Cricetulus griseus: one gene and its partners. The main gene of each other region encodes a partner of the protein of the gene in region 2 in a complex. Links are inferred from orthologs where the notes say so. Each region holds a gene or a part of one and is shown on either strand. Other genes may lie near its edges. The genes, in order: Med18, Med13, Med21, Med31, Med25, Med8 and Med1.

Region 1 (4,299 bases), on a different chromosome or scaffold from region 2:
AATCTTTTTTTTTTTTTTTTTCATTAATCTTTAAAAATGTTGCATTACGCTGGGCGTTGGTGGCACACGCCTTTAGTCCCAGCACTCGAGAGGCAGAGGCAGGTGGATCTCTGTGAGTTCGAGGCCAGCCTGGTCTCCAGAGCGAGTGCCAGGATAGGCTCCAAAGCTACACAGAGAAACCCTGTCTTGAAAAACCAAAAAAATAAAAAAATAAATAAAAATGTTGCATTACAAGTGTTATTAGAGGGCTGGAGAGATGGCTCAGAGGTTAAGAGCACTGCCTGCTCTTCCAGAGGTCCTGAGTTCAATTCCCAGCAACTACATGGTGGCTCACAACCATCTGTAATGAGATCTGGTGCCCTCTTCTGGTGTGCAGATATACATGGAAGCAGAATATTCTATACATAATTAATAAATAAAATCTTTAAAAATGATTAAAAAAAAAAAAGCCGGGCAGTGGTGGCACACGCCTTTAATCCCAGCACTCGGGAGGCAGAGGCAGAGGCAGGTGGATCTCTGTGAGTTCGAGACCAGCCTGGTCTACAAGAGCTAGTTCCAGGACAGCCTCCAAAGCCACAGAGAAACCCTGTCTCGAAACCTTTCCCCCCAAAAAAAAAAAAAAAAAAAAAAAAAAAAAAAAGCAGCAAGTGCTCTTAACTGCTGAGCCTCTCCCCTATTTATTTATTTTTGAAAAGTCTCACAATGTTGTTTAAGTCTTGAACAGTTCTGCTGGAGAGATTCTTACCACAGCCTTCCGAGTTCTGATTCAGACTGTGCCTGGTCCCCTGCATTCATTCATTCATTCATTCATTCATTCATTCCTTTATTTGGTTTTTCAAGACAGGTTTTTTCTGTGTAGCTTTGGAGGCTGTCCCGGAACTCACTCTGTAGACAAGGCTGGCCTCGAACTCACAGAGATCCGCCTGCTTCTGCCTCGGGAGCGCTGGGATTAAAGGCGTGCGTCACCAACGCCCCGCATGGTTCCCTGTACGTAAAGTTGAGGTTTGTACAGGAAATTATACAAGTTTGCTGTTGTATTAAGTTTGCACAGGCCAGGGAAAGGGTCTAGCACTGAGCTATTTCTCCAGACCTTTGAAAACACACAAAACATTCAGTGTTAGCACTGAGGCCCATACAGGCACAACGCTGTGCTTAGCTGGGGAGCGCATCAGACCTCTGTCACCTTGAGCTATCTGATGCTATCAATGCGGCTCTTTCCCCAGTGGCTCAGTTCACAATTTAAACATAGTATCCAATCAGTTTGGAGAGATCTGATCAAGACACCCAGGTCGTCGGAGCTGTGGGGGAGAGCGCCACTTATCCTAGAGCTGCCCTATGACGTAAGGCCCTGCAGTTATCCCCAGCGCACCGCTCCAGACCAGGACCCCCTCGCAAGGCAGCGCCGCACTTCGCACATGCGCTCTTGCCCCCGGTGCCAGGAGGCAGGCTCATTCCTGGCCCTCTCGGCACCCTTACTTCTCGGCGCTTCAGGGCCTAGGTTTCCTGTCCGTCAGCTTCCTGCCGGAAGTGCGGAAGGCGGATGCCTGCATCTTCTCTGGCGGGATTTTGGTATCTGTGGGTGCGAGTGTGCAAGCGTGGACTTAATTCCAGCTTCGCGGGGAGCTGCGGCGTGCACGGAGGCGTGTTGCTAGTGTAAGTGCACACGTGCCCGGGATCCCGGCGTGGGAGGACCGGTGCCGTCACTTTAGTCACGCTTCCCGCCTGGCTCGTTTGAAAAGGGGAAAAAGGCCGAGCCCTGTTCCAGGCGGACCCCCGTGTACCCTGGCGCCTCTCCCTGAGTCTCCTTGGCGTCCGCCTAGGGTGAAGGTCCTTAGGTCGCCTTCGGATCTTCTGTTTTGGGTTTTTAGAGGTCTCACTGCGATTCCCCGGTTGGCCGGAACTTGCTAGGTAGACCAGTCTGGCCTCGAACCTGCAGCCGTCTTCCTAACTCTGTTGTCGAGCGTTAGGATTACAGATGTGCCCCAGCACGGCCAGCTTTTATTTATGTTTGCAAACGGGGCCTCTGTGTAGCCTAAAGGTGACTCTACTTTTTCTGAATTTAGTTGTATGTCGGTTGTTTCGTTTGAGCCACGTAGCTGGGGGAGGGAGGCTGGGCGGTTAAATGCCCCTAGTCTTATTTAAAAGAGTAAGTTCCAGAAAAAGAGGTTGCACAGCTGCCTCAAGATTACCTAGGAAACTTAGAGGGTTCAGAATTTGAGATTAGAAGGTTACGCCGTATCTCCGTGGCCAGAACCCTTGTTTCTGTGTCGCCTGTTCATGGAGCGGGCTGTATAAATAAATGCGAAGTTCTGAATGCCTGAGTCTTGATTTCAGTGCCGGAGCCACGCTACTAACCGCTCCAGTGTACAAACAAGTGTGACTCTTCCAGGTGTATCCCGTGTTTACCTGACCGTCACCATGGAGGCCCCTCCAGTCACCATGATGCCAGTCACTGGGGGCACCATTAACATGATGGAGTACCTCCTGCAGGGTAAGTGAGCCAGGGAGCTTGCATTAATTGCCAAGTTTTTCCTTCCTTCCTTCCTTCCTTCCTTCCTTCCTTCCTTCCTTCCTTCCTTCCTTCCTTTTCTTTTTTGGTCAGAGTAAGTAGAGATAAAGCTAACAAAGTCAACCACACAGTTTCTGTCTCCCTGTAAGTATGTTTAAAGGAGGTAGGGTGGGAAGGTTGACTCAGTGGCCAGAAATTCACCACACAGACCAGTCTGGCCTCAGGTACCTGGGTTTAACGAGATGCACCATAAACAATTGCCTTTTCTTTTTTCTTTTTCTTTTTGGCTTTTCAAGACAGGGTTTCTCTGTAGCCCTGGCTGTCTTGGAACTCACTCTGTAGACCACGATGGCCTCAAACTCCCAAGTGCTGGGATTAAAGGTGTGCACCATCACCCCCCTGCTTCATTTTCTTTCATCTTTACTTTTTCTGCCTCTCGACTGACACTGATCACCTCCACACCTTGTTTTCTTCATCCACTGCTTAGATGCCCCAAAGAAGTGAAATGACTGGTTTGTGACAGGTTTCTTTTACTTGGCATTATATCCTTGACAGAATTATGTCTTATATTTACATGGTTTTTGTATTTTTGGAAACAGGGTCTTAGATAGCCCTGGACTCCTTATTAGCTAGAATTGCAGACCTAGGCTACCAGGCCGTGCTAAGTTCCTGTTTCCGAATCTCTATTCTGCACTGAGTATCTCAAGCATTGTATCTACTTACTTGACTCTTAGGGGGTAGTTTGTTTGCTTGTTCGTTTGGTTTTGGTTTTGAAGACAGGGTCTCACTTTATATATATCCCTGGTTGGCCTGCAATGTAAACCAGGCTGGCCTTGAACTCATAGACATCTACCTGCCTCTGCCTCCCAAGTGCTGGGATTAAAGGCGTGTGCCACCACCACCCGGCTTTTGCTTGAGTCTTGTAATGACCCCTAAATTTTATTTTATTTTTTTTAGCTCTGTCCTAAAGCCCAGAAGACAGAGATAAAGGCTCAATGATAAAACAAGACCCAAAGAGAATGCTGACTTTTTTAGGAGATCATACAATATATTTAGTAGGCAGAGTTAAGCTTTATTTATTTTTGAAATGTGTGTGTATGTGTATATACGCACGTGTATACAGGCGCTCTTGCATATTTTGTGGGAGTCATTTCTCTGCCACTGTGTGGGTGGGGGATTGAACTCAAGTCCTCAGGCTTGATATTTGTACTGGATTTAATTAGATTTTTCTATTACATTTTATTTGTTTGGGAGCGGCCTTGTGCTTGCCACAACACACCTGTAGAGGTCAGGGGACATGTGGGAGTTAGTTCTTTCCCTTCATTAGGTGGGTATCAAGGATTGAACTCAGGTCATCAGGCTTGGCAGCAAGCACCTCTACCCACTGAGCCGTCACATTGGTCCCTCTAAAATGTTACCGAGTAAACATTTAATTTTTGTCCTTGGGCAGTTGTCCTTTATCTTTGTATTTATTTGTTTGTTTGTTTTTATTTGTTTACTTATTTTTGGTTTTTCAAGACAGAGTTTCTTTGGGTAGTCCTGGCTGTCCTAGAACTCACTATGTAGACCAGGCTGGCCTCCAACTCGCAGAGCTCCATTTGCCTCTGCCTCCGAAGTGGCAAATATCTTTCATTTATTTGTGTGATTGCCTGTTTGGGTTTATGTGTATCATGTCCATGCCGAGTCCAGAAGAGGGCGTTGGATCCCCTGGACCTGGAGTTACAGACAGTTGTGAGCTGCCTGATGTGGGTGCTGGGAACTGAACTCTGGTCCTCTGCAGGAGCAGTAGA
Region 2 (3,500 bases):
TTTATTATAATTTTATACATAAAATACTTAACATGATTGAACTAAATTCCACAATAAGAACAAGAAGCACTTTATATTCATTTATGACTGTCTTAAGATTAAAAAAAAGGGGGGGCAGGCATTGGTGGCACACACCTTTAGTACCAGCACTCAGGAGGCAGAGGCAGGAGGATCTCTTTGAGTTCAAGACCAACCTGATCTCCAGAGCAAGTGCCAGGATAGGCTCCAAAGCTACACAGAGAAACCCTGTCTGGAAAAACCAAAACAAACAAACAAAAGATACAAAGAGACACCATAGATTCTGAATTTCCACAAACTTAAATTTGCTTTTATCTTTTCATACACTGTCCACAGGCTTCAAGCAGGCTAAACCCATGCTACTTACTGCTCAACTATCTCTCAACCCCAAGCATCAGTATCTTAAAAATACCTTTCTGACACATCAGGATGTGGCTGAGTGGGAAGCGAGGCTGACTCGCCTGACATTCCTGCTGCCTGCAGAGATGATGACTGCTGTCCTCCCAGCTGGCCACTCTGAACTGTACTTGTTTGTGCAGACATGGATCCTGAACCACTAGTGTTCATACTGCCAAAGGGTGGAAATGAAGGCAGTTTATTTGATGACACTCCACTACTCATATTGGAAGATGATGAAGATGAAGTTGTGGTCAAAGTTGAATTAGCTGTGGCAACTGAAGTAGATATGGCAACACCTGAAGTCATTGTCATAGTGCTACTTGCCGCAGATGCTAAGGTGGCAGATGGAGTATTAGCGTTTCCAGTATTTGTCATCTGAGGTGCAGTAAGCAAAGACTGATTTGTAGGGGCAACTAAATTTGGCTGGGAGAGCAGAGAGCTGTCCAACGGCTGAGAAGCAAGATATGGACCTAAAGAACAAAAAACGGGTATTTAATTCTTGGTTTCACTGACTTATTTTTATTCTACTAAAGAAATAACAATTTAGTTGATACTTTCATGGCAATTATCTTCCCTTAACTGTTTTACTAACAGTGTAGCATGTAATAGCTTTCTATTTTCTCCCAGAAACTAAAGAAACAAGTTTAAAATGGAACTATAAAAGTAAACCTGCATTTTCATTCAAATTTAAGATAATCAATATGAAAATGTAAGAAAATTTTATTTCCTGGGCAAAATTAGATGTAAACAAAGGCTGACAAGATGGCTCAGTGATTAAGTTAATCCCCAGGAAGCACATGGTAGAAAGAGAACCAACGCTGCAAGTAGCTTTCTGACTTCCACTGATTCAGGTGCATATACCCAACATACTCCAGTAAATGTTAATAAAAAAATCAGAACACATCAACAAGCGTGACAGCAGTATGTAACAATTTTTCATCAAATCACTGCAAGTGTTATTAAGTATTATTTCTTCACAAAGTGAAGAAATACTGTCCAAACTGACAGCTAACTAAAATATAAAATGGAGGAATAGTACCATGAAGCTCAATTTACAAAAATGTCTAAGTTCAGTAATTTGGTATTACATCTCTTTGGATAAATGTAAAAAAGTTCACTGGTATTTAAAAGTACAAAAAGGTTTTAAATAACAGTCATTCTCTTAGCCACAATAAGACTTTTTCTGGAGTTGCATAGTTGACTTAGAAATTACATGCATCTGAATTATTAACAAATCGTAGATCTTGAAGTGCGTAAAACATCAGATCCCACAGAAGTAGCAGAAAATATTTTGGAATCCATAATGTCTACTTGAGAGGATGCCCACATACGAAGCAAACGGAATTTCTATGTGGACAGTCAGACAGTACATATTTAACTTTGAAACCACAGCCTTTGCCACATCTACTCAGTTCTGACTTTACAGGACAAAAGCAGGCAGAGACAGCGTGTTTGAAAAATGGAGATGGCTACATGACACTAGGATATTATTTACAAAAATAGATGATGAACCAAGCCACAATGCTCACACTACTCTTGTAGAATGAATACAAATTTATTACCTAAATCATATCTGCAGACTTGTGCATAAAGCTTGAGCTTAGAAAATGCTTCATTGTTACCATCAGCTGCCTGAGAAAACCATTCTGTTACAAACTTTTCTGAAAGCTTCTTTGATGCAGTAGCTCCCACTTTCATGATCCCATCCGTCAACAGTCGAGAAATAGGTCTGTGTTGGCCCAATCGACAGGACTACAAATACATATATAAAAGGTAGACTCAGGGAATCTATTATACTATTAGGGTACAGATATTAAATTAAAAACTCAATCTATTTAAAACAAGCTTTATTACTTATAATTAACAACTGAGTCAAAACACCATGGGTAAGTATGCAGACACTGGTCATCTTCCTTTAGGAATTTCAAGCTGCTGCTTTGCACTCCCCTCCCCTGCCCCCTGCCCCCAACCCACACACACACAGCTCAGGTAGCCCAAGCTGGTCTCAAACTTTCTATGTAGTTAAGGATGACCAAGAATTTCTGATCTTCCTGCCTTCATCTCCCGAATGCTGGAATTATAAGCATATACCACCATCCCTAGTAATACGGTTTTTCCAAGATATGGTATTCACTGTGAAGGCCAGACTGGCCTGGAGACTTTCCGGTTTCAACTACCTCAGTACAAGAGTTACAGATATGCACCACCACACCCAACATACCAAGGGTTACTTTAAATATAACACATATGCCCTCGATGGGTCCCTCCTATACTATGTTTTCCACTGTGACCCAAGGCACACATACCTAACAGAGACTAGCAAAAATGTGGAAGAGTATAGTTTCCTAGTAAGACAACTGACAAAAATCAGCATTTTTCATCAGCCAGTAGAATTCCCCAGTATAATTTAAACATAAATTATAAAATACCTACCTCATATATTGCAGTAAGATCTCTAAAAAAGCTTTTGGCTCCATTTAACAACGCTTCATTCTCTGGACAGAGTACAACATAGGCTATATCTCTTTGAGATCCATATGGTTCCAGCATAAGTTTCTCCCAGTAAGGGAGAGCAAATGGAGAAAGCACCAGAAAATCGTAATCATAACCCAACAAAAACGTGGGAATTGGCAGTGGTTCTGGAGATTCGTCAGTTCCTAATAAAGAAGGAAATTAGGAAAAAGCCAGTTCATGTCATCTTTATTTCCAAAGCTAATAAATAGATTATTAGGAAAATATTAAAGACAGAAACATATAAAGCTAGCAATGACATATTTTCAGAATTAAAAATATCCTTAGGTGCTCATTTTAAAACATTTCCTGCTATTTTGTTTAGGGCAATCTTGTTCTATAAACAGTCAGATCGAACTTGCAGCAAGCCTCCTTCCCTTGGCCTGTTAAATGCTGGGATTATAGGCACAAGTCATCACACTTGTCATTAATTAATTTAAAAGTAAACTTATTTATAATTAATATGATGAATAATTTGTTTACCATAAAGACTTACGAGAAAAATCATAAGATATACTATGTAACATTGTATACATGTCAACTATACTATATTTTATTTCTTAAAACTTGGT
Region 3 (3,386 bases), on a different chromosome or scaffold from region 2:
TTCTCTATCCTCAGTGAGGAGAGGCGGCAGTCTGAGGCTTGGTGGGGAGCTCGAGGATCAGCCCTTTCACCTGAGGTAGAGGTGAGAGCTAGTGGCCGGCTACTTTCTCTGATCTTCAGCTTGAACCCCAATATCAGTCTCTGGGTTTTTATTAATTGTGTTACACTAGAATGTGTGACACTCTGAAGAAGAAAGCTTTCAGGTGACTGTCTATTTCCTATCTGCTCTAATAGTTTCTTAAAAAGACTTTCAGAAACTTTTGCTCAAAGATATAAACTTACATGGTGCCATCTTTAAGGAGGGGGACACTATCTAAATTGAAATGTCCCATATCATGGCCTTTAAGGCTATGCTGACCTGTGGATGGGCTGCAATCATACAATGTCTGTCAGAACCGGGGAATATGGCCTAGTGACAAAGTGCTTACCTAGCATACACAAGGCCTGGATTCCATTCTGTACTGCACAAAACAAGAAAAACAACACATGCAAAACATCAGAGAGCTGTATTGTATAGCTTTTTAATTATAGCATGAACATTAGTACAGTATCTACCTTGAAAATTCTAGTCAGATAGATAAAAAAATGACATGATGTTTGAGGATGACTCAATTGCAATCGCAATCTTAAAGCTTTTTAATATCGAGAGTGAAAACTAGTAAAAAAGGAAACAGTCACAGCGTATGATGCCCCCCAGCTGTTGGAGGGACTTAAGCCCATATCTGAGGCGGTATTCTTAGTGCCCTTCAAACAGTTATTTTCTCAGTCACCTGTTTCTGTTGTTGCTAGGAATCTGGAAGCGACTGGCTACGGGTGACACTTCTGGTCTTCAGTTGTGACTGTGCAATGTCGGCAAGCGCACTTTGGATCTTTTCCAGAAGCATGTCTCCCCGATAAACAACATCCTCCAGACATGTAGCAGCTTCATGATTTTCTTCTTCTAGCTTATATAAGCTAGCAGCCTTCATAAGACATGAATTTTAATATGCTCAGAGATGAAATGCAGAGAAACTAAAGTACAAGTATTTATTTTAAAATCAGAATGGTTTTCCAATCATTTTTTTATCTTTAGTAACAGATAATTCTAAATACCTATTTAATTTTTCTCTATGACTTATTAGAAGACTAATTTTCTTTCTTTCTTTTTTTTTAAAAAGATGCATGTATTCATTATGTATACAGTGTTCTGCCTGCATGTATCCCTGCAGGTCAGAAGAGGGCACCAGATCTCATTACAGATTGTGTGAGCCACCATGTGGTTGCTAGGAATTGAACTCAGGACCTCTGGAAGAACAGTCAGTGCTCTTAACCTCTGAGCCATCTCTCCAGCCCTGAAGACTAATTTTCAATCAGAATATATAGGTGTTTGCTTGTACATTGCTTGTAGACGTTACTTTGCTCCACTTTCAGTAAGGGCATTAGGAGACTTCTGCCTAAGATTAAATTGCTCAGTGTCAATACTGCCTCGAATACACATGATCTGATCTTTTAGGTCAAAACTGGACAACTATTCAGCACAATCTTCAGAGGCTGTTTTAGTTCACAATTATAGAGTGTTTGCCTGCTATGTGAGACCCTAGATTTGACCACAAAACAAGCAAAAAACCAACCACAATCAAACAAAACCCAAAATACCTTCCAATTAAACTTTAGTCCTAATTTGAATGCCATACCTCCTTTAATTCAAAGTTCTCTATCACTACTACTTTTATGAAAAGAAAGGAGTTTTCACCTGTAAAGCAGCTGTCGACTCTTCGCTGGGTAAGGAATCTATCAAAACATCAATATCTTTCGCTGTTCGTGCAATCAGTGCTGCAAAAAGCTGGGCATACTCTGAAAAAAAAAAAAAAACAACATTAAGTTAAATTAGCAAAACCTTACATTTTCACAAGCACAAATTATAAATTAATAAAACTAGAAAAGTTCAGCTTTCTAATATAATCCTAATGGTGAAAGTATAATTTTAGTATATCAGTACTATTTATACCCTTAACATTAATTCAAACTGGGAATTAGCATAGAATGTCATTTTATATACTAGGACAACATTTTGGTACCTTGAGCAAATGAACCCATAAATGAGATCCTTTTTTTTACTAAGGTCATACAAGCAAAACTCAGTTCAATCTATACAGTTTATAATTAATATAAGCCTCAATGTGTTTATTTGGGACTAAAGGGCTGGGGGACCAGGTGAAACAGAAATTCAGTCTTCATAAGCTCTCCTCTAAGGGAGTAACAATCTTTTATTGAAGTGAATAGAATCATGAGGCACATGAATTGAGCTGATAAACTCATTCCTTGACCAATGAGATAGCTTTGCAGATAAGGGCATGTAGTTGCATGTTTTCTGTCTCACCCGCCAGTTTATAATTGTTTGGCTGATAACTCAGACTTCTTACTGGCCTTTCTTTCCTTTCTTTTCCTTCCTTCCTTCCTTCCTTTTCTTTCTTTCTTTCTTGAGACTGGGTTTCTCTGTATTGCTTTGAAGGCTATCCTGGAACTGGCTCTGTAGACCAGGTTGGCTTTGAACTCATAGAGATGTACCTGCCTCTGCCTCCCCAGTGCTAGGATTAAAGGCGTGTGCTACCAATGCCAGGCTTTTTACATATAAATTAACCCATTTTTACTAATCTATGTATCATTTAAGATTTATTTACTTATTATGTATACAGTGTTCTGGCATGCCTCATTACAAATGGTTATGAGCCATCATGTGATTGCTGGGAATTGAACTCAGGACCACTGGAAGAGCAGCCAGTACTCCTAACCTCTGAGCCATCTCTCCGGCCCCCTCTCTCTGCATCTTTGTTTGGATTTCCCACCTAGTTATATTCTGCCTGGTCACTGGCCAAAACAGCTTTATTCATCAACCAAAAAAAGCAACACTTATTCATAGCATACAGAAGGACCTCCCACATTGCTACCAAGTCTAAGGACCACAGTGTGATCCCCAGAATCCACATGGTGAAAGGAGAGAACAGGTCTGGAACCTATGACCTCTTATAAGCATACTATAGCAGGCCTGCCCACATACACACCAAGTAAATAAATGCTAAAAAATCATTTATGGAAAAACATAGAGCAATGCACTTCAACCACAGTCACAGTTTTACAAAGGAGCTATAAATTGTAGAAGGAATGTTAGTCAAACTAAGGAGACCTCACCTTCTGTGGGATTGGCGGGTTGGTCTTTATTAATTGCTGTTTGAATGTTACTAAAAGAGGCAGGAGGACCACATTGCTGTAATACTCCAATGGCGTTACAAAACTGATCTGCAAGCTTGAAAAAAAAAAGAAAAAAAATCAAGGTTACAAAAAGAGTTGTCAATTTTATGGATTTTATGAGATATGGCAACAATTTCTTCATAATAATGATCTCTAAGC
Region 4 (3,962 bases), about 13 Mb from region 2:
CCCTGACCTATTTAAAAAATAATAAAAGCCTGTATGTGGAGTACTGTGTATAAAAACTTAACATAGGAAAGCTTATTATGAAATACAAATAAAGGTCAATTAATAATCCATGAAAGATGATTCTTTGTTCTATTGGTTTCAAGCACTATATAATCAAGCCAGTGGTCATGAATTCATGACAAGTTTGGTCCTTCTTCGCAAATTTCAAGTGGTCAAACCATTCTAGAGGGACCTCAGGCTACGAAACTTACCTGGTGCAGAGACTCAAAGAGCCTCTTTGTCCATCATCAGCCGAGTATATACGCACCGCAAGTCTGAAGCCCTTCTGTGCTGGCTTCGAGTTAAATAGTACACTGGGTCAACAGCAGGGTGGTCTAAGGTGATGCAATCTCAATACATGTTGGCAGCACCCAGAAACCACAGCCTGTTTCTTACATTGATTTACAGGCTGTTTCCATGAAACCAAAGATGCTTGGCTCTCCTGGAAGCTGGCTGGCTGGCAAATGGAAACACTTCAGTGCTGGCTAAGGGCCATGGCCACTTCATCGGGTCATTTTGGCACTCTGGCGAGCTGTTTGCTTGTCCCTCCTGGCTGGGCTCTCTACACGGTGCACAGTCGTCTCCACCCGCAGGGATGACGACGCCCTGACGTGGCTGGAGGACGTCTCCGTGCACTGCGAGGAGGTTTCCACGTGCTGGGAGGATACCTCGAGGAATCTAGGGAGTCGCTTCGCGGAGGAGGTCAGGGAGGGTCCCTCTCGGTGGCGCTGAGAGGTCTCCACCTGACGAGAAGACGTTCGAACCTGCCGGGAGGACGTCTCCACGCGGTGGGATGACGTTTCCTCGCGGTGGGACGACGTCTCCACGCGGATAGTCGACGTTTCCTTTTGGCGGGTGCTTTCCACTCGCGGGGCGAAGGATTTACTCCTAAGGGGCGAGGCCATCCTGCTGGCACACCCAGGTCAGAAGGGACACAGAGGCCCAAGACTCATGCTCTGTGTCACGTCACACAAGGGACGGTGACGTCAGGGTGATGAGCTACGTCAGTGTAGGCTGCTGCGGGCCACATAGGATCTGCGAGCAACGAGCTCTTCCAGCACGCGCCGCTAGATAATTGCTCAGGCTGCCGGCCCAGACCACACAGATAGGCGGGGCCTCTCTCCTCAGAAGGAGGCTGTCTCCGCCCTCGCGTCCCACATGCCCCGCGACCGGAAATAAGAGCCGTGGCTTCCGGATCCTCCCTCACCATTTGAAGCCGCGGTTGGGTCGGGCTGGTTGTGTTCGCGTCTCTCTCCTCTCTGGTTATGGCCGCGGCCGTCGCTATGGAGACAGGTTCGTGGTGTCGTGCTCCTGGAGTCTTCACCGAGGGAACGGGTCCTCCCCCCTTCTCTCCGGTTTCCCCGCGCCGTCTTTCGGGCTTAACCCGGCATCCTTAAGGAGTTGGGATCGGTGGGGGAGAAGGCGGTGTTGTCTCTGATTGTGGCCTGTGTGAACGACATCTTTGCTCCTGGGCTGCTCACACCTCCACTCCCTGGCTCGCGGGCCGGGGTGGGACTGAGGGAGAGGACCGAGCCCTTCAATTGTCTGCTCTATGGAGCTTTTCCCGTGAACTTGCTTGAAATGTTTGTAACGTGTATGGTTCTGATACGGATTACCGTCTCCTCCCCGCTGTTTAATCATTTTGCATCTTGCTTCCTGCTTTTATTTAGCACTTTGTTTTTGTTTAACTTAATCACTGTTAGTAGTTGTGGTTGTAACGCTAACATTGGGGGTGGCACAGCTATTACAGACCAACCAGTGATCTCTGTTACCATCCTCCCATAGTGGCCTTAAATAGCCGTTTCGTTTATTTTTCTCAACTAACTTTAGGTAATTTATTATCTTTGTTTTGTTTTGAAGACAGGGTCTCACTATGTACTACTGCCTAGCCTGGAACTGGCTATGTATACCAGGCTGGCCTGGAATTCACAGAGATCCTCCTGCCTCCCCCTTACAAGAACTGGGATTAAAGGCATGCACCACTCGGCTTGTTTTGTTTTAAACCAGGCTCCACTCTGAGATTTCTAAGGAAATCTCTCCTGCAGTTTGGTATTTGTTTCATAAATTCATTCCTATGGGGGTGGGCGGTGCATGCCGAGGTCAGAGGACAACTTGCAGGAGTCTACTGTTCCTGCAACCCTGCGGGTTCCAGGGATGGAGCTCAGGTCATCAGACTTTTCTGTGAGCACCTTTACATGCTGAGCAGTCTCACTGGCAGTTTGTTTTTGTTTCTACAAATCATTGGTATCGTGACTTTTATTTTGGGTGTCTTTTACTTTTTTCTCCTAGATGATGCTGGAAATCGACTTCGGTTTCAGTTGGAGTTGGAATTTGTGCAATGTTTAGCCAACCCAAATTACCTTAATTGTAAGTCGAGTACATCATTAAGTTGAGTAGCTAGCTGTTAATGATTTCTGACAGAAGAGATGGAATTCATAATAGTATTTACTTCGGTATGTTTGAATGGGATTTTACTTTCGATGGTCTGTAGTTATTAACTGAGCAAACAAGGACTTGTGTTTTTTAATTCCTTGTGTTTTGATGGTAGGAATGTTAAAAGAGCTACTTTATTGTAGCGATTACAAGTCAGTAGTCCAGCAGTTGGTTGACATACAGATTGTTTCTTTATGCCTTTCAGTTCTTGCCCAAAGAGGTTACTTCAAAGACAAAGCTTTTGTAAATTATCTTAAGTACTTGCTTTACTGGAAAGAACCAGAATATGCCAAGTATCTAAAGTAAGTTTAATTTTTATAATCTTAAATCTGTGTATACTTTATTATAAATACGAAGTGCTTATATTTAGCAGTTTTCTCGGTGTCAGAATGGCAAACTATGTTTTGAATTTTTCTGCTTTTAGTTCATGTCATGTCATTGTCATTTCTAATTTGAATTGTTACAGTAATCTCACTTATTTCTGCTGTCATTCTTACCTCACTCCCTTCAAACCAAACAAAGCCAAACAGTTGTCTGTCAAAACCAATTTACTGTCTTAGTAGTATAAATCAGAACATGCCACTTCTATTCATGTAGGATAAAATCCAGTAACTAGTTTTAGAGTAAGACTCTGATTTGATTTGGTCTGTCTGAACTTGTCATTTAGCATTCCCCTTGTCTCTCTGGGTTTCTAATGCCTTCCAACCTATAAACTACTAAAATGTAGTGGTATAGCCATAAGCTGAAAATGAACATATAAGAAGTGGTGTTTTCTGGGAGTCTTAGACTTACTGTCTTCTTTATAGTTTCCTATGTGTCAAGTACTGTGCTAAATGTATCGTGCACATTAACTCACTGTAAACAAAAGAAAGACAAACATGAACACTGTCAAGTTGTTTGATAGACAATTGTGAGAAACATCACAACTACACAGCTATCCCTTTGAATGGTAAAACAAAACCTTGAACTCACCCCTCTGCTTTGTCTTAATTAAAAAAGAAAAACAAGCTGGTACACACCTTTAATCCCAGCATTTGAGAGGTAGAGGTGGAGGTGGATAGATCTCTGAGTTCAAGGCCAGCCTGGTGTACAAAGCTACTTCCAGGACAGCTAGGGCTACACAGGTAAACCCTGTCTTGAACTCCCCCTCCCCTAAAAGGGTGGACAACAACAACAACAACAAACCCAGAAATTTTAGCCTGATGCCCCTTTAATCCCTGCTCTCAGGAAGATCCGGCAGATCCCGGTGAGTTTTAGGCCAGCTTAGTTATGTAGCAAGTTTCAGGCCAGTCAAGGCTACATAGACCCTATCTTAAAAATTAGAGGGAAACATTTCAAGCCTTTTCTTTATATCCTAGTCACTTTTCTGAATTGATCCTGGACTGCCTGTAGAACAGATTGCACCGGATTTGCTCTTTATGATGCAATTATTGATTCCTTTAGGAATCTGAAGGAGAGACTTTTAAGTTATTAGGCTGTTATAACAGTGC
Region 5 (4,201 bases), on a different chromosome or scaffold from region 2:
TTGCGCTTTTAAAGGAACTAAGTTCAGTATTCAGCACCCACATGACAGCTCACAGTCTCCTTTAACTCTTAATTCTATCTTCTGATCTCCATGAGTACTACAAGCATGTGGCATTTAAGTACATGCAGAGAGATATTCATGTACATAAAGCAAAAATAAACCTTAAAAAACAAAAAGCTGATTGTGACAACATCCACAGAGAAACTCTGTTTCGGGGGTGGAGTGGGGTGAAGAAAACAAAACAAAAAAATAAAAATAAAAAACAAACAAAACTCCATCAAAAACCAGGAGCTGGGAAAATGATACAACGCAAGCATGAGAACCGAAGTTCAGATTTCCCAACACTCACATTTTAAAATGTGTTTGTATCTTTCTCTTTTTTTGTTGTTGTTTGCTTGTTTTGTTTTTTCAAAACGGAGGAGTTTCTCTGCGGAGCCTTGACTATTCTGCTATTCTGGAGCTCACTCTGTAGATCAGGCTGGCCTGGAACTCAGAGATCCGCCTCTCTCTGCCTCCTGAGCGCTGGGATTAAAGACGTGTGCCACCGACGCCTGGTTCAGCTCTTTTCCTAATCTTTTCTCTGTTTTCCTTTTTTGAGACAAGTTTTCTCTGTACAGCCATGTCTGTCCTGATACTCGCTGTAGACTTGGCTGGCCTCAAACTCAGAGATCTGCTTGTGTCCACTGTGCTGGGATTCAAGGATTCAAGGCTCCAGCACCCCTCTGTCCACACATGTTACAGTAATTTTCCAGGTCATTTTATATTCATGACGTTGGCTGCAATGCCGAGTGACTCATTTATTTATTTATTTGTTTATCTGTTTATTAGGAATGTATTTGCTTTGAACCAGTTACTGGCTTCTTTCTCAGAAAACAGGGATCAGGTGTTGCTTAGCAACCTCCACTTAAGTTGGAATTCGCTTCTTTCTGAGCGAAAACAACTGCCCTGGTTTCCAAGTCGTCTGCAACGTTACAGTGTTGCCTGGCAACGCCGTTTCCGAAGATGTGATTGGACCGCTCTCTCCCATCTGTTCCCTGTGAGAAAGACTAGAATTTATTAACTTAATCTCCGTGTGAGAACACAACGGCTGGGTACGCGTTGCCTAGCAACCTGGCTCCACAAACTTCCCCCTTCAGCTCCGAGTCGGAAACTGGAGGCCGACTCCAAGATGGTGACCGGATATGCCGTTTTCCGATTTATTTCGTGCTTGATGTTGTGGACAAAAGTTTGTTAGTTCTCAAGAGTCCCCCAGAGGGGTTTGTGGTGCCCGTTCTGATAATTTCCTGGTGTGGGAATCGCCAGGGTAGAGATAAAACCACCACTCCCCGGATGCCCCGCACAAACATGGCCGCGTTAGCTTCAGCGGAGGTTGCCAGACGTCCGGCGCGGGTGAGCGCATCACGCAGGCGCACTTCTGTTCGTCCCGGGACCGCAACGGCAGCTGCGGCGCTGGCGGCGGCGGCGCGGGGCATGGTCCCCGGATCCGAGGGCCCGGCTCGGGCCGGGGGCCTGGTGGCCGACGTGGTGTTTGTGATCGAGGGAACAGCAAACCTGGGGCCGTACTTCGATGAGCTCCGCGACCACTACCTTCTGCCCGCCATAGAGTGAGTGAGGGCCCTCGTCGTCTCCCTCCGCCCTGACCTGCGGCTCGCACGGACGCTGCATTTCCTCCTGTCTTCGCAGGTACTTCAACGGGGGACCACCCGCAGAGACGGACTTCGGTGGAGACGTGAGTCTGTGGCCGCGGCACGGGGAGGAGGCTGGGTGTGGACCTGGTCTGAGGTTGGGAGGCCCTGTTCCAAAGACCTCCGTTTTAAAGTTCTTTTGTCCTGTCCTCTCAGTATGGTGGAACCCAGTACAGCCTTGTGGTGTTCAACACAGTGGACTGCGCCCCAGAGTCCTACGTACAATGTCATGCTCCTACCAGCAGCGCCTATGAGTTTGTCACTTGGCTCAATGGCATCAAGTGAGCTTTTCCTTCATTTTGGGCAGATTGGGGACCCCAGCAGAACTCAGCGTGGGTCTGTGCGAGTCTGTCTTGTTCCAAGCAAGAATGGGCTACCCAGGCAGTGGGATCCCTGGGTACAGACCACCACAGCCTGCTAGGGTGTGAGTGTCTGCAATTACTGCTTGCCCTGTTCTTGTGCTTGGTTTGCAAATGAGTAGCAGTGTAGACTGCTGGGTGCAGGAAGGGTCTCTGAAGCTAATCTTTTCATGTGGAATCCACAATCTAGTTGTGGTCAAGGGTCATTTGACAGTGCTGATCTAGTCCCAACCGGTTCTTAACCGTCCTGACTTGGTGAAGCAGGTGTGCTTTGAATGCCTGCTGTGTTCCGGTTTTTTTTTTTTTTTTTTTTTTTTTTTTGTGTGTGTTGTGTGTGTGTGTGTGTGTGTGTGTGTGTGTGCATGCACTCCACTTGGAGATTGTCTGGACTGGGAATTTATGTAAAGCATGGCTTCCCATGCTAGCCATTGTTGACACTTAGCACTCAAGTTTTGTTAAGAAGACTGGTTTATTTTTGTTTAACTTGTGCAAGTGTTTTGCATCCATGCATGCCTGTTTACCTCTTGTGTGTCTGGTGCCCTTGGAGGCCAAAAGAGGGTATCAGATCCTTTGGAACTGGAGTTAAACAGTGTGAGCTGCCATTTTGGTGCTGGGAATACAACCTGGGCCCTCTGGAGGAGCAGCCAGTGTGGTTTCTTTCTTTTTTTTTTTTTTTGGTTTTTCGAGACTGGGTTTCTCTGTGTGGCTTTGGAGCCTATCCTGGCACTCGCTCTGGAGACCAGGCTGGCCTTGAATTCACAGAGAGCCACCTGCCTCTGCATCCTGAGTGCTGGGGTTAAAGGCGTGTGCCACCAACGCCTGGCTGCAGCCAGTGTTCTTTAAGATTTTTATTTATATTGCCAGGCTGCAGTAGTGCACGCCTTTCTTCCCAGCACTCAGAAGTCAGAGGCTGGTGGATCTCAGTGAGTTTGAGGCCAGCTAGAGGGCAGATGGCACCTTAGTTAAGAACTGCTGGGCTAGATTGAAGTGAGACTTGAGTAACAACCATCTGGAGTTCTGTGAAGCCCCAAGGTCCACACTGCTGCATGTCAGGGTTGGTGTATGTGAGGCCTCTCTCACATTTGGTTAGGCGTGAGTCTGAGGGCCAGTGCCAGCCAACTCAGTTCTATTGAACTCCTGATTGGCTGTTAAGTCTCCTGTGTCCATTTCTGTGCAGGGAACTTGTGTGACTTTTCTTATGAGCCAATTGTCCTCTGCTACCTGTCACTGCCTCTGCTTCTGGACCTCAGTGGAAGTCCAGTACCTGCTGTTCCTCCTCTAGACTGCTTCCAAGTAGGGTTTTGCTCCTACAAGGCTTAAGGAGAAATCTGTGTAAACAATGAGTGATGGCTGCTTGAAAGCTCCTCAAAGACACCGGACCTTCCTGGTGCAGACTGCAGGAAGAGTGGCCCTCCCTTAGGAAAAAGGCTGACTATGGGTACTTGAAGATAAAAGGGAGATACTGTCTGGACTGCACTGTGTTCCCCACTTGTACACTTAAAATCCTGTAGCTACAAGTGTCCCCAGTTTGGAGGCCTCTGCTACTGTTAGGTAGTTCAGCATTGTTTTACTCTCCCAGGGTCACTGTTCTGACCAAGGGCCGTGACCCATGTCCAGGATGCTCTGGGCAGGACTGGAATGGAAATGAGAGTCAGCAGGACTTGTCCCTGCTTGAGAACACTCTCCTTCTGCTGTTGATGATGGTGCTTGGAGACAAGGTGCACAGTACAATTAGGACACAGCCTTGCTCTGGGCTTGTTTGTTTATTTTGTTTTGATTTTTGATTTTTTTTAAGACAGGGTTTCCCTGTGTAGTTTTGGAGCCTCTGAGTGCTGAGATTAAAGGTGTGTGCCACTGCCACCTGGCTGAGTTCTTTTTCTTTTCTTCCTTTTTTTTTAAATTATAAGTCCCATTTTATTTTTCCAAGGTGTTTTTCCTTCTGTCTTCATGAAGCCACCTCTTTACATGGGCTTTGGTGGCGGTCGTGGTGCAGCACCAGCAGGTGTGGTGGGGGTGTTTGGTCCTTCCGGGCTTCACGAGATGGATTCCTGACTACCTTACTATGACTAGCACAGCTCACACAGGAATGTAGCCTGACATTTGGGAAGCACATAAGCATTGAAGACACTTACTTCGGATATGTCCCTGACAGCAACG
Region 6 (4,176 bases), on a different chromosome or scaffold from region 2:
GACTGCTGTGACGGTTGCAGGGCTTTTCCAAAAAGCATGGACGCTAAAGCGAAATCAACTCATGCTATTGATTACATTCCAGTTGATGAGCTACAAAAACCCGCAAAGTCGGTCAGCTTCAGCGTGGCCCAATGAAAATCGCAACTAATACCCCAAACACGAAGTTTTGTCATTACAACCATCTCTAGATCTGTGGGTGGGAGATGAGGATCAGGATGACATCTGAGTAAACAAAACAGCTACGGCCTCCTCGAGGCTCCGGAGGGTGGAGGCTGCTACGCGCCTGCCCTCTGGGCCTCGGTCCCGCGCCCGCCCGCCCCTCACCTCTGGCTCCGGGCGCTCCGAGGCCATCACACAGCCCTCCCGCGCCGGCCCGGGCCAGGGAGGATGCTCCACTCCTGACCTCTGACCCAGCTAGCTCGGTACCGGGCAGGAACCGGAAGTCGTAGGGATGGCCGCGTTCTGAGTTTTTTGATTGGTGGGCACAGACGGCGGCGCGAGAAACCGGAAGAGGAAGTGGTTGCGCCAACCGGGCCGTGGCAATGCAGGTGAGAAGCCGGTTGGGCCTCCCAGCCGCTAGCCACCGGCTGGAGGGTGGGCGGGCCGAGGACTCTGGGAAGTTGGAGCTGTGAGGATAGGGCAGAGGCCTCGGCTGTTTGGGGAAAGGCGGCGAAGCCGGAAGGGACGAGGACAGCTGCGGGGGGCGCGGGGATTTAGCGCGCTAACGCCAGAGGGTCAGAGGCGTGGGTTAGGGGGAAAGGCACGGCCGACTTGCTTGACTGTGTGAAAGGATCGAATTGGCATTTGGGAAGGCTAGAGAAAGAAGTGGGCTGGGACAGCCCTCGACCTCGACTGTTGGGCACAGGCGCAACAAGGCTTCAGAAGGCTGAAGGGATTGTGGGCCGCCAAGGACGAAAACTAAGCAGTTTGTAATCCGAGGCTGTGGGTGGAACCTAGTATCCAACCTCATCCTTCACATTCTCGGGTTTGCAAATCAGCTTTGTGTCATTCTTCCCGCCTTGTACCCCGTTGCTTAGGGCGCAGAAGTGGAGTAAATAGACCACAGATGGTCAAACGGAAACCCTCTGCCAACACAGCATTTAAAATTGTCTAACGTCCAGAAAGAATGTGTTGGTTTCCTCGCCTTTGTCTTCCATTACTCAGTTTGTTGCACCTGGTATTCCTACAGTGACTGTTTATGGGTCACCCGAGTTTACGAAAGAGACACTGGAATACTGGCACAGAGATGCAGGAGTACACATTGACTCAGCAAAGGACCAGTTGGGGAGGGGAGCTGCAGAGCTGGTGTTCAGAGACAGCCTCAGATACGGGCAAAATGTGAGATTCTCCAGATTGTGTTGAGAGTAGCTGCACTCACAGGGCAGAGGATAATGGCTTGCATGTACTATAGAGGCACCCATGAGGTAATGAGATAATGAACCTCAGGTGTGCCTTCTGGCCTTATATGCCGACAGCACCCCTGTTACCTTGGCAAACCTTTCTAACATGTACTGAACTTTCTGAAAGAAATGTGGCAATACCAACTCCACAGAATGACACAATACAAGGATTCTCTATATGCCCAAGGAAAGCAGAGTTAGGACATCAAGCAGCTGCGTGGTAGGCAGACTGTTTTCCAGAAAAGGCTAGACTTAACAAAGAAGATTGTGCTTTGGCTTGAGCATCTGCAGATTAAGAGAATGTTGGCTTTTAAGAGAGGCAGTCTTTTGAGCTGGGAGGAGAAGAGAATCGAAGTGAAAAGATGAAGGGCTAAGTGATAAACAGTTCTAAGCCAGTTTTGTTATGAAGACAAAATGGTGAGGTCATAAGCAGAAGGGAATTAGGTCTGGTGTAATGTTCCTTTTGAAGGGCCATAGTGTAGGAGGTTGATAGAAGGAATCAATTGGTAAGAGGACTTCAGGCCAGGTGAACAGGTTGAAAGGTCTAAGGGTTGATGCTGTCTGTAACCCAAATACCAAGATAGAAACCAATTTAGCTTTTCTGTATGTGCCACGATCGCTCGTATCTGAGTAACCAAGCATACTGTTGATGCAGAGGGAGGAGAAGCAGCTTGAGGCATCCTTAGATGCACTGCTGAATCAAGTGGCCGATCTGAAGAATTCACTGGGGAGTTTCATTTACAAGTTGGAAAACGAGTATGACCGGCTGACTTGGTAAGGATTGCCAGGGCAAGCCGGGGAGGGAATCCATGGGTGGTGGGGCCAAGCCCCCGGGCTGACAGGACATCTCCAATGATGTAACTATTTATCAGTTTGCAAATATCCTTTTTGATTTGGCAAGAACTAGGTTGCCCAACATTGACAAGTATAGTTTGGCTTAAAGCCTCCATGGCAAGGAAGTAGAGAAATGCCCAGTTTCCCAACGTAGGCTGTTTCGAGGTTTTAATTCTTACGCTTTGACTTCTTTGGTGAGGAGGTGTTCCCCCAGTGGGGAACCATTAAAGCTATATTCATGCTGGATCTCCTTCCACAGATGTGGCTGAATCTGAGATCCACCCTACTCTGGAATGATGGATTCTGTTAACTAGGCTAGAAAGGAGGCTTTTATCCACTTAAAGAATTTTTAGTTACCACAGTGTAACCACAGTTTCTGTTTTCCACTACCTCCAATCCCATTCAAACAATGAGTTACGACTGGCAGTGGTGGCACACACCTTTAATTCCAGCACTCAGGAGGCAAAGGCAGGTGGATTTCTGTGATTTTGAGGCCATTCTGGTCTACAGAGTGAGTTCCAGGACATCCAGGGCTACACAGAGAAACCCTGCCCCCTCACCCCCCCAAAAGGAAAAGAGTTGCTTTTTTTCTACGTCTGTGTGTCCGTGTTGGAAATTGACAGTGTGCTCCTCTTTCCCAACTCCATCATCTCTGCTAGAAAATCTGGTTCTTGCCTAGGCTAGTCATAGGGCTGTGAGTCTTCTGGGGGTGAGTCTGGGTGTTCCAGCATTAGAACTTTAGAGATTACTTTATAGGGAAAAGTAGTTCTGATGACTTCCTACCACCCGCAGGCCCTCTGTCCTGGATAGCTTTGCATTGCTCTCTGGACAGTTGAACACTCTGAACAAGGTCTTAAAGCATGAGAAGACACCACTGTTCCGTAACCAGGTCATCATCCCTTTGGTGCTGTCCCCAGATCGAGATGAAGACCTCATGGTAAGAAGAAAGGATTGAACCAGGGAAATCAGGTCCTTAAATGAAAGTCTGGAGCACAGTTGTTGATTGGACCCTCTGTATAGCAATGAAAAGTAGGGGCTGCTATCTGGAAGACTTGCTTTTTTGTCCTTCTGGAGTCAGGAGTCACTCTTAAATAATGTTGTGAAAGCCAAGGCCATGTCAACTAAGTCCATGACCTTTCTTTTCCAAAAAAAAGTCTGTTCTGCTTGCCTGTAACTTTGTCCAATCAGTCTTTAAAATGTGGGGTTAGGAATTTAGCTCAGTGGTAGAAAAAAGTCCTGGTTTGGTCCCCAGAATGGGGGTGGGGAATCACGAAAGACCAAAACAAAATAGAAACAACAACAAAAAGAAAATTACAGTGCGGTTGTGGAGGGTGGAATTTATTTTGTCCTAGTTCTGATAGAGTGTATGTGAAAAGACAAAGCCACAGAAAGCTACATTTGTGTCTCAGGTTGTGTTGTCTCTAAAAATGCAGTTTCCCACGGAAGAGAAACTGGGTTAGAATCGGCTTACTTGGATAGCACAATAGGATCAATACAATCTGTGTTACAGCGTCAGACTGAAGGACGAGTGCCTGTTTTCAGCCATGAGGTCGTCCCTGACCATTTGAGAACCAAGCCTGACCCTGAAGTTGAAGAGCAGGAGAAGCAGCTGACAACAGATGCTGCCAGAATTGGTGCTGATGCAGCTCAGGTTGGACTGAGTCACTGCCCTGCTGCCCCATCCCCATCCCTTCATAAGAAGCAAGACTTTACCAAGCCTGGGTAGTAGGAGTCTGTGGTTGGTTACAGCTAGGCTGCCTTTGGAAGAGCACAAGGAAGATGCTTTCCCAGAGTCATTTCTAATCACTACATCAATTCCTGTGTGTTGCAGAAGCAGATCCAGAGCTTGAATAAAATGTGCTCAAACCTTTTGGAGAAAATTAGCAAAGAGGAACGAGAATCAGAGAGTGGAGGTAAGGAGGCTGGTTGGCAGAACAGAGTG
Region 7 (3,962 bases), about 12 Mb from region 2:
TCCAGATTTTGAGATAGGAAGTCATACCTTTAATCTGGGCCATACCTTCTGCTGGAAGTCTGTAAAGGACATGGAAGAAGGGAGGGATTGTTCATTCTCCACCTGCTTACCCTTGCCTTGTGAGCACATCCATTCCTTCTCTGGCACTGGAGTCTAATTCTTAGGATTCCAGCAGATTCAGAAATTGTTGAATTAGCTCGACAGTAGCCTATAAGTCATTCCAATAAATTTATAAGTTCTGGGACTCTGAGAGCTCTCTAGGGGGAGAAGGGCAAGGCCTGCCAGAGCCATGTTCGCCATGCTTGAGTTGGATAGAGTCCTATCAACAAGACGTTGACTGAAGACATTTTTTTTTTAAGTTACTCTCAGAATAGTGGTCACTAAGCATTTTTTAAAAAAGATTTTATTTATTATGTATACAACATTCTGCTTCCATGTATATCTGCACACCAGAAGAGGGCACCAGATCTTATAGCGGATGGTTGTGAGCCACCATGTGGTTGCTGGGAATTGAACTCAGGACCCCTGGAAGAGCAGTCGGTGCTCTTAACCTCTGGGCCATCCCTCCAGCCCCGACTGAAGACATTTTTGTCATTCATATTGTAGAGAAGTAGTTAAGCTGTATATTTTCACTGGTGTAATAAAATGTGACACAATGATAATTGTGGTGGAGTCAGACACGTGGTAACTGGAACAAATAAAACTGCTTTAATCTAAATTCCCATTAATAATTATGAAATTGTTAAAAATTCGCTGGGCGTTGGTGATGCACGCCTTTAATCCCAGCACTCGGGAGGCGGAGGCAGGAGGATCTCTGTGAGTTCGAGGCCAGCCTGGTCTCCAAAGCGGGTGCCAGGATAGGCTCCAAACCTACACAGAGAAACCCTGTCTCAAGAAAACAAACAAAAAAACCGGAGAGAAAGAAGAAAGAGAGAGAAAGAAGGAAGGGGAAAGGAAGGCAGAAGGGAAGCAAGCATTAGGTTGAGAGGAGACGCCGACTCTCCGGGATCACACTTAAAACGCGAAGCCGTGAGCACGAGCCAATCGGTGACGGCCGGCTAGAAATCCCGCGGCAAAGACGAGCCAGCCAATTTTCGCGAGATTTTAGTACTTTTTTTTTTTTTTTTCTTCTTCCTCTGTCGCGCAGGAACACGATTAATCTCGCGATCTTTGGGAAGTTCCGTTGGGGAAGATGGCGGCGGCCGCGAGCTCCCTTCTCTTCTTGCCGCCGGGGACTTCAGACTGAGCCCTCCCCGGAAGCGCGGGGGCCGCTGCGGCGCCGCTCCCCCGGAGCTCAGGACAGCCTGGTTCCGCTCCCGGCCGTGGGGAAAGGCTCACGCTCCCCTGGCCGGCCCGAGGCCTCGCGGCTGTCAGGATGAAGGCTCAGGGGGAAACCGAGGGTGAGTGGCTGAGGGGGGGTCGGAGGGGCGGGACTCAGCGGCGGGGAGCCAATCGGCGAGAGAAGTGGGACCCACGCCCCCCGGGCCGCGGCGCCCGGAAAGGGTCCCCGCGGAGCGTGTGTCAGGTTCCGACTGCGCCCGAGGAGGCTGCGGGGCGCCGACTCTGAGGTGGCCTCCCCTCGCCTCGCCTCCCCTCCCGCTTTGTGGACGGCTTTCTGCCTGACTAGGGACGGAGCAGTCGAGCCTCGGGGTAGCTCAACCTGGTGGGACATGAGGAGAGTGACGTGGACACTTGTTTACTCTTTGTTCCAGCAGCGGTATCTGAGGGTGACAGTAGAGACAGAAGAGCAAGGTGTCAGGGTGATCCAGGGTGTCCTAGTGTGAGTGACACGGTGAGGCCTTCGGTTTCTTCCCCGAAATGTCACTGCTCAAGCCCCGCGTTGCGAATTTAAAAGCTGCTCCTCTAATTGTGCTTGGATAGCGTGGCTTTAAAGAGAAATTGGGAGAATGTGTTAGGCACAATCCCCAAACCACTTCCCCAGAAGAGGGCAGAAAAAGGAAGAGATTGAATCTTTTTTTGTTTTGTTTTGAGACAAGGATTTCCCACGAAGCCCAGGTTAGCCTTCAACTCAGGATAATCTTCCTGCCTCAACCTCCCTAGTCCTGGCTTACAAACCTGTACCCTCTGGATCAGCTAAGTTTTTTGTTTGTTTGTTTGTTTGGTTGATTTTTTTGTTTACTTTTTGTTGTTTTTGTAGTTTTCGCTTTTTTTTTTTTTTTCTCCAGACAGGGTTTCTCTGTAGCATTGGAGGCTGTCCTGGAACTCACTCTGTAGACCAGGCTGGTCTCTTAACTCAAGAGATCCTGTTCCTCTGCTTCCCGAGTGCTGGGATCAAAGGTGGGCGCCACCACCACCCAGCTAGGTTCTCGAAAGAGTTTGAATCTTGGTTTAGATCCTTTCCCCACTACGTTAACTCATATCAACTGGCTCAGCCAAGTGAAGTCATGACAGTTGTAGGGAACTGGATTGCAAAATAAGCATACTTAAACCAATAGCACTTTTTTCCCCTCTCTTATGAGGAGTCTAGTCTTAGTATTTGTGTGCATGCTGGTTGTGAAAATATGGAACTATGTAAGGAGATTATTTATTTATTTTTCAAGGCAGGGTTCCTGTCTGTTCTAGAACTGCTCTGTAGACCAGGCTGGTTTCAGCCTCACAGAGGGGGTAGAGGTAGGAGCATCAGGAGGCCAAGGGCATTCCTCACATTCATTTATTTGTTTGTGCGTGAAGCCATCTGCCTGCCACAGGGTAAATGTGGCCATCAAAGGACAACTGGCAGGAGTCAGTTATCTCTCCATGTGTGGACTCTGAGGATAGAACTCAGTTTACATGTTTTGGCAGCAGGTGCCTTAATTCACACTGAGCCATCTTGTGAGCCCTCAAGATCATCCTCTGCCAGATAGACCGGGAAGTCAGCATGGGCTATGAGACACAATCTCAAAAAGGGAAGAGGGAGCTCTGTGTGTGTGTGTGTGTGTGTGTGTGTGTGTGTGTGTGTGTGTGTGTGTGTGTGTGTGTCTGTCTGTCTGTCTGTCTGTCAGTCTGTCAGTCTGTCTGAGTGAGATTAAGAGCCCTCACTTCCCAGTGTGTCTGAGTGATGAGGAGCCCTTGCTTCCCAGAACGCACACTCCCACATGCAGCTCACAACCATCTGTAACTCTAGTCCTAGGGGTCCTGGTTGCCACCTTCTGGCCTCTTGAGTATTGCACAGACATGATGAACATACATGCAGGCAATAAAAAGTCACATATAAGTAATTTTTAAAGAAGTATGTATTTTATGTGTGTAGTTGTTTTGTCTTTATGTATTTCTGGGTACCATGTGCATAGCTGGTGCCTTGTGCCACCACCATCCGGCTTTCAGCTGGTGTTCTTAAAAGCATAGGTTGGGAATTGTGGAACACTGCTTTGATCCCAGTGCTGAAGAAGCAGAGGCAAATGGATCTTTATGTGTTCAACTGTGACCACAAACAAACCACTTTTGGGCTGGGGAGATCCAAGGCAAGGACAGCAAGTTTTCCTCTGACCCTCACAGGCACTGTACTCAGCACTTATACAACATACATAGACATAAAGACATTAATAATAAAAAGGTTCGTTTTGCTTTTGTTACTAGTAGTATTTTATTTATTTGTTTTTAAATTTTAGAAGCACTCTTATTTACATATCAATCCCCCATTCCCCACCTTTCCATCCTACCCCGCCCCCCAGGGGTGTCAGATCCCCTGGAACTAGAGTTGGATATGTTTGTGAGTTTCTGTATGGATGCTAGGAATCTAACCACATCCTCTTGAAGAGCAGCTAGAGCTCTTAACTACTGAGCCATTTTTCTAGCCCCTTGGTTTTTAGTATCCTTTTTGAGACAAGGTTTCCTTATGTAGATTAGTCTGTAGTTATTTTGTTGTTGTTGTTTTCAAGACAGTGTTTCTCTGTGTAGCCCTGGCTGTCCTATAATTCACTCTGTAGACCAGGCTGGGCTTGAACTCAGAGATCCGCCTGTCT

What was found.
Region 1: Med13 (region 2) and Med18 share a complex: the UniProt entries of both Homo sapiens proteins name them as parts of the mediator complex. The link is inferred for Cricetulus griseus from reciprocal best matches to the Homo sapiens genes MED13 and MED18.
Region 3: Med13 (region 2) and Med21 share a complex: the UniProt entries of both Homo sapiens proteins name them as parts of the mediator complex. The link is inferred for Cricetulus griseus from reciprocal best matches to the Homo sapiens genes MED13 and MED21.
Region 4: Med13 (region 2) and Med31 share a complex: the UniProt entries of both Homo sapiens proteins name them as parts of the mediator complex. The link is inferred for Cricetulus griseus from reciprocal best matches to the Homo sapiens genes MED13 and MED31.
Region 5: Med13 (region 2) and Med25 share a complex: the UniProt entries of both Homo sapiens proteins name them as parts of the mediator complex. The link is inferred for Cricetulus griseus from reciprocal best matches to the Homo sapiens genes MED13 and MED25.
Region 6: Med13 (region 2) and Med8 share a complex: the UniProt entries of both Homo sapiens proteins name them as parts of the mediator complex. The link is inferred for Cricetulus griseus from reciprocal best matches to the Homo sapiens genes MED13 and MED8.
Region 7: Med13 (region 2) and Med1 share a complex: the UniProt entries of both Homo sapiens proteins name them as parts of the mediator complex. The link is inferred for Cricetulus griseus from reciprocal best matches to the Homo sapiens genes MED13 and MED1.

Annotation. Positions count from the first base shown.
Region 1 is NC_048595.1:20,799,995-20,804,293, forward strand, and holds the start of Med18 (mediator of RNA polymerase II transcription subunit 18), read left to right. Parts: upstream 1-1,499; 5' UTR 1,500-1,653; intron 1,654-2,334; exon of another isoform or gene 2,335-2,389; 5' UTR 2,390-2,418; coding exon 2,419-2,491; intron 2,492-4,299. UniProt on the Homo sapiens protein: Component of the Mediator complex, a coactivator involved in the regulated transcription of nearly all RNA polymerase II-dependent genes.
Region 2 is NC_048600.1:99,532,909-99,536,408, forward strand, and holds part of Med13 (mediator of RNA polymerase II transcription subunit 13), read right to left. Parts: intron 3,075-3,500; coding exon 2,851-3,074; intron 2,170-2,850; coding exon 1,980-2,169; intron 888-1,979; coding exon 431-887; intron 1-430. UniProt on the Homo sapiens protein: Component of the Mediator complex, a coactivator involved in the regulated transcription of nearly all RNA polymerase II-dependent genes.
Region 3 is NC_048601.1:3,053,536-3,056,921, forward strand, and holds the end of Med21 (mediator of RNA polymerase II transcription subunit 21), read right to left. Parts: intron 3,283-3,386; coding exon 3,168-3,282; intron 1,833-3,167; coding exon 1,732-1,832; intron 962-1,731; coding exon 785-961; 3' UTR 501-784; downstream 1-500. UniProt on the Homo sapiens protein: Component of the Mediator complex, a coactivator involved in the regulated transcription of nearly all RNA polymerase II-dependent genes.
Region 4 is NC_048600.1:86,054,533-86,058,494, reverse strand, and holds the start of Med31 (mediator of RNA polymerase II transcription subunit 31), read left to right. Parts: upstream 1-1,162; 5' UTR 1,163-1,304; coding exon 1,305-1,332; intron 1,333-2,328; coding exon 2,329-2,406; intron 2,407-2,677; coding exon 2,678-2,774; intron 2,775-3,962. Other genes in the region: uncharacterized protein C17orf100 homolog, read right to left, coding at 543-944. UniProt on the Homo sapiens protein: Component of the Mediator complex, a coactivator involved in the regulated transcription of nearly all RNA polymerase II-dependent genes.
Region 5 is NC_048599.1:153,725,702-153,729,902, reverse strand, and holds the start of Med25 (mediator of RNA polymerase II transcription subunit 25), read left to right. Parts: upstream 1-1,401; 5' UTR 1,402-1,470; coding exon 1,471-1,604; intron 1,605-1,683; coding exon 1,684-1,729; intron 1,730-1,841; coding exon 1,842-1,966; intron 1,967-4,201. UniProt on the Homo sapiens protein: Component of the Mediator complex, a coactivator involved in the regulated transcription of nearly all RNA polymerase II-dependent genes.
Region 6 is NC_048595.1:33,902,819-33,906,994, reverse strand, and holds the start of Med8 (mediator of RNA polymerase II transcription subunit 8), read left to right. Parts: upstream 1-1,376; 5' UTR 1,377-1,391; coding exon 1,392-1,424; intron 1,425-2,055; coding exon 2,056-2,174; intron 2,175-3,026; coding exon 3,027-3,171; intron 3,172-3,744; coding exon 3,745-3,885; intron 3,886-4,065; coding exon 4,066-4,147; intron 4,148-4,176. Other genes in the region: KICSTOR complex protein SZT2, read right to left, coding at 325-351. UniProt on the Homo sapiens protein: Component of the Mediator complex, a coactivator involved in the regulated transcription of nearly all RNA polymerase II-dependent genes.
Region 7 is NC_048600.1:111,310,312-111,314,273, reverse strand, and holds the start of Med1 (mediator of RNA polymerase II transcription subunit 1), read left to right. Parts: upstream 1-1,162; 5' UTR 1,163-1,375; coding exon 1,376-1,400; intron 1,401-1,521; exon of another isoform or gene 1,522-1,792; intron 1,793-3,962. UniProt on the Homo sapiens protein: Component of the Mediator complex, a coactivator involved in the regulated transcription of nearly all RNA polymerase II-dependent genes.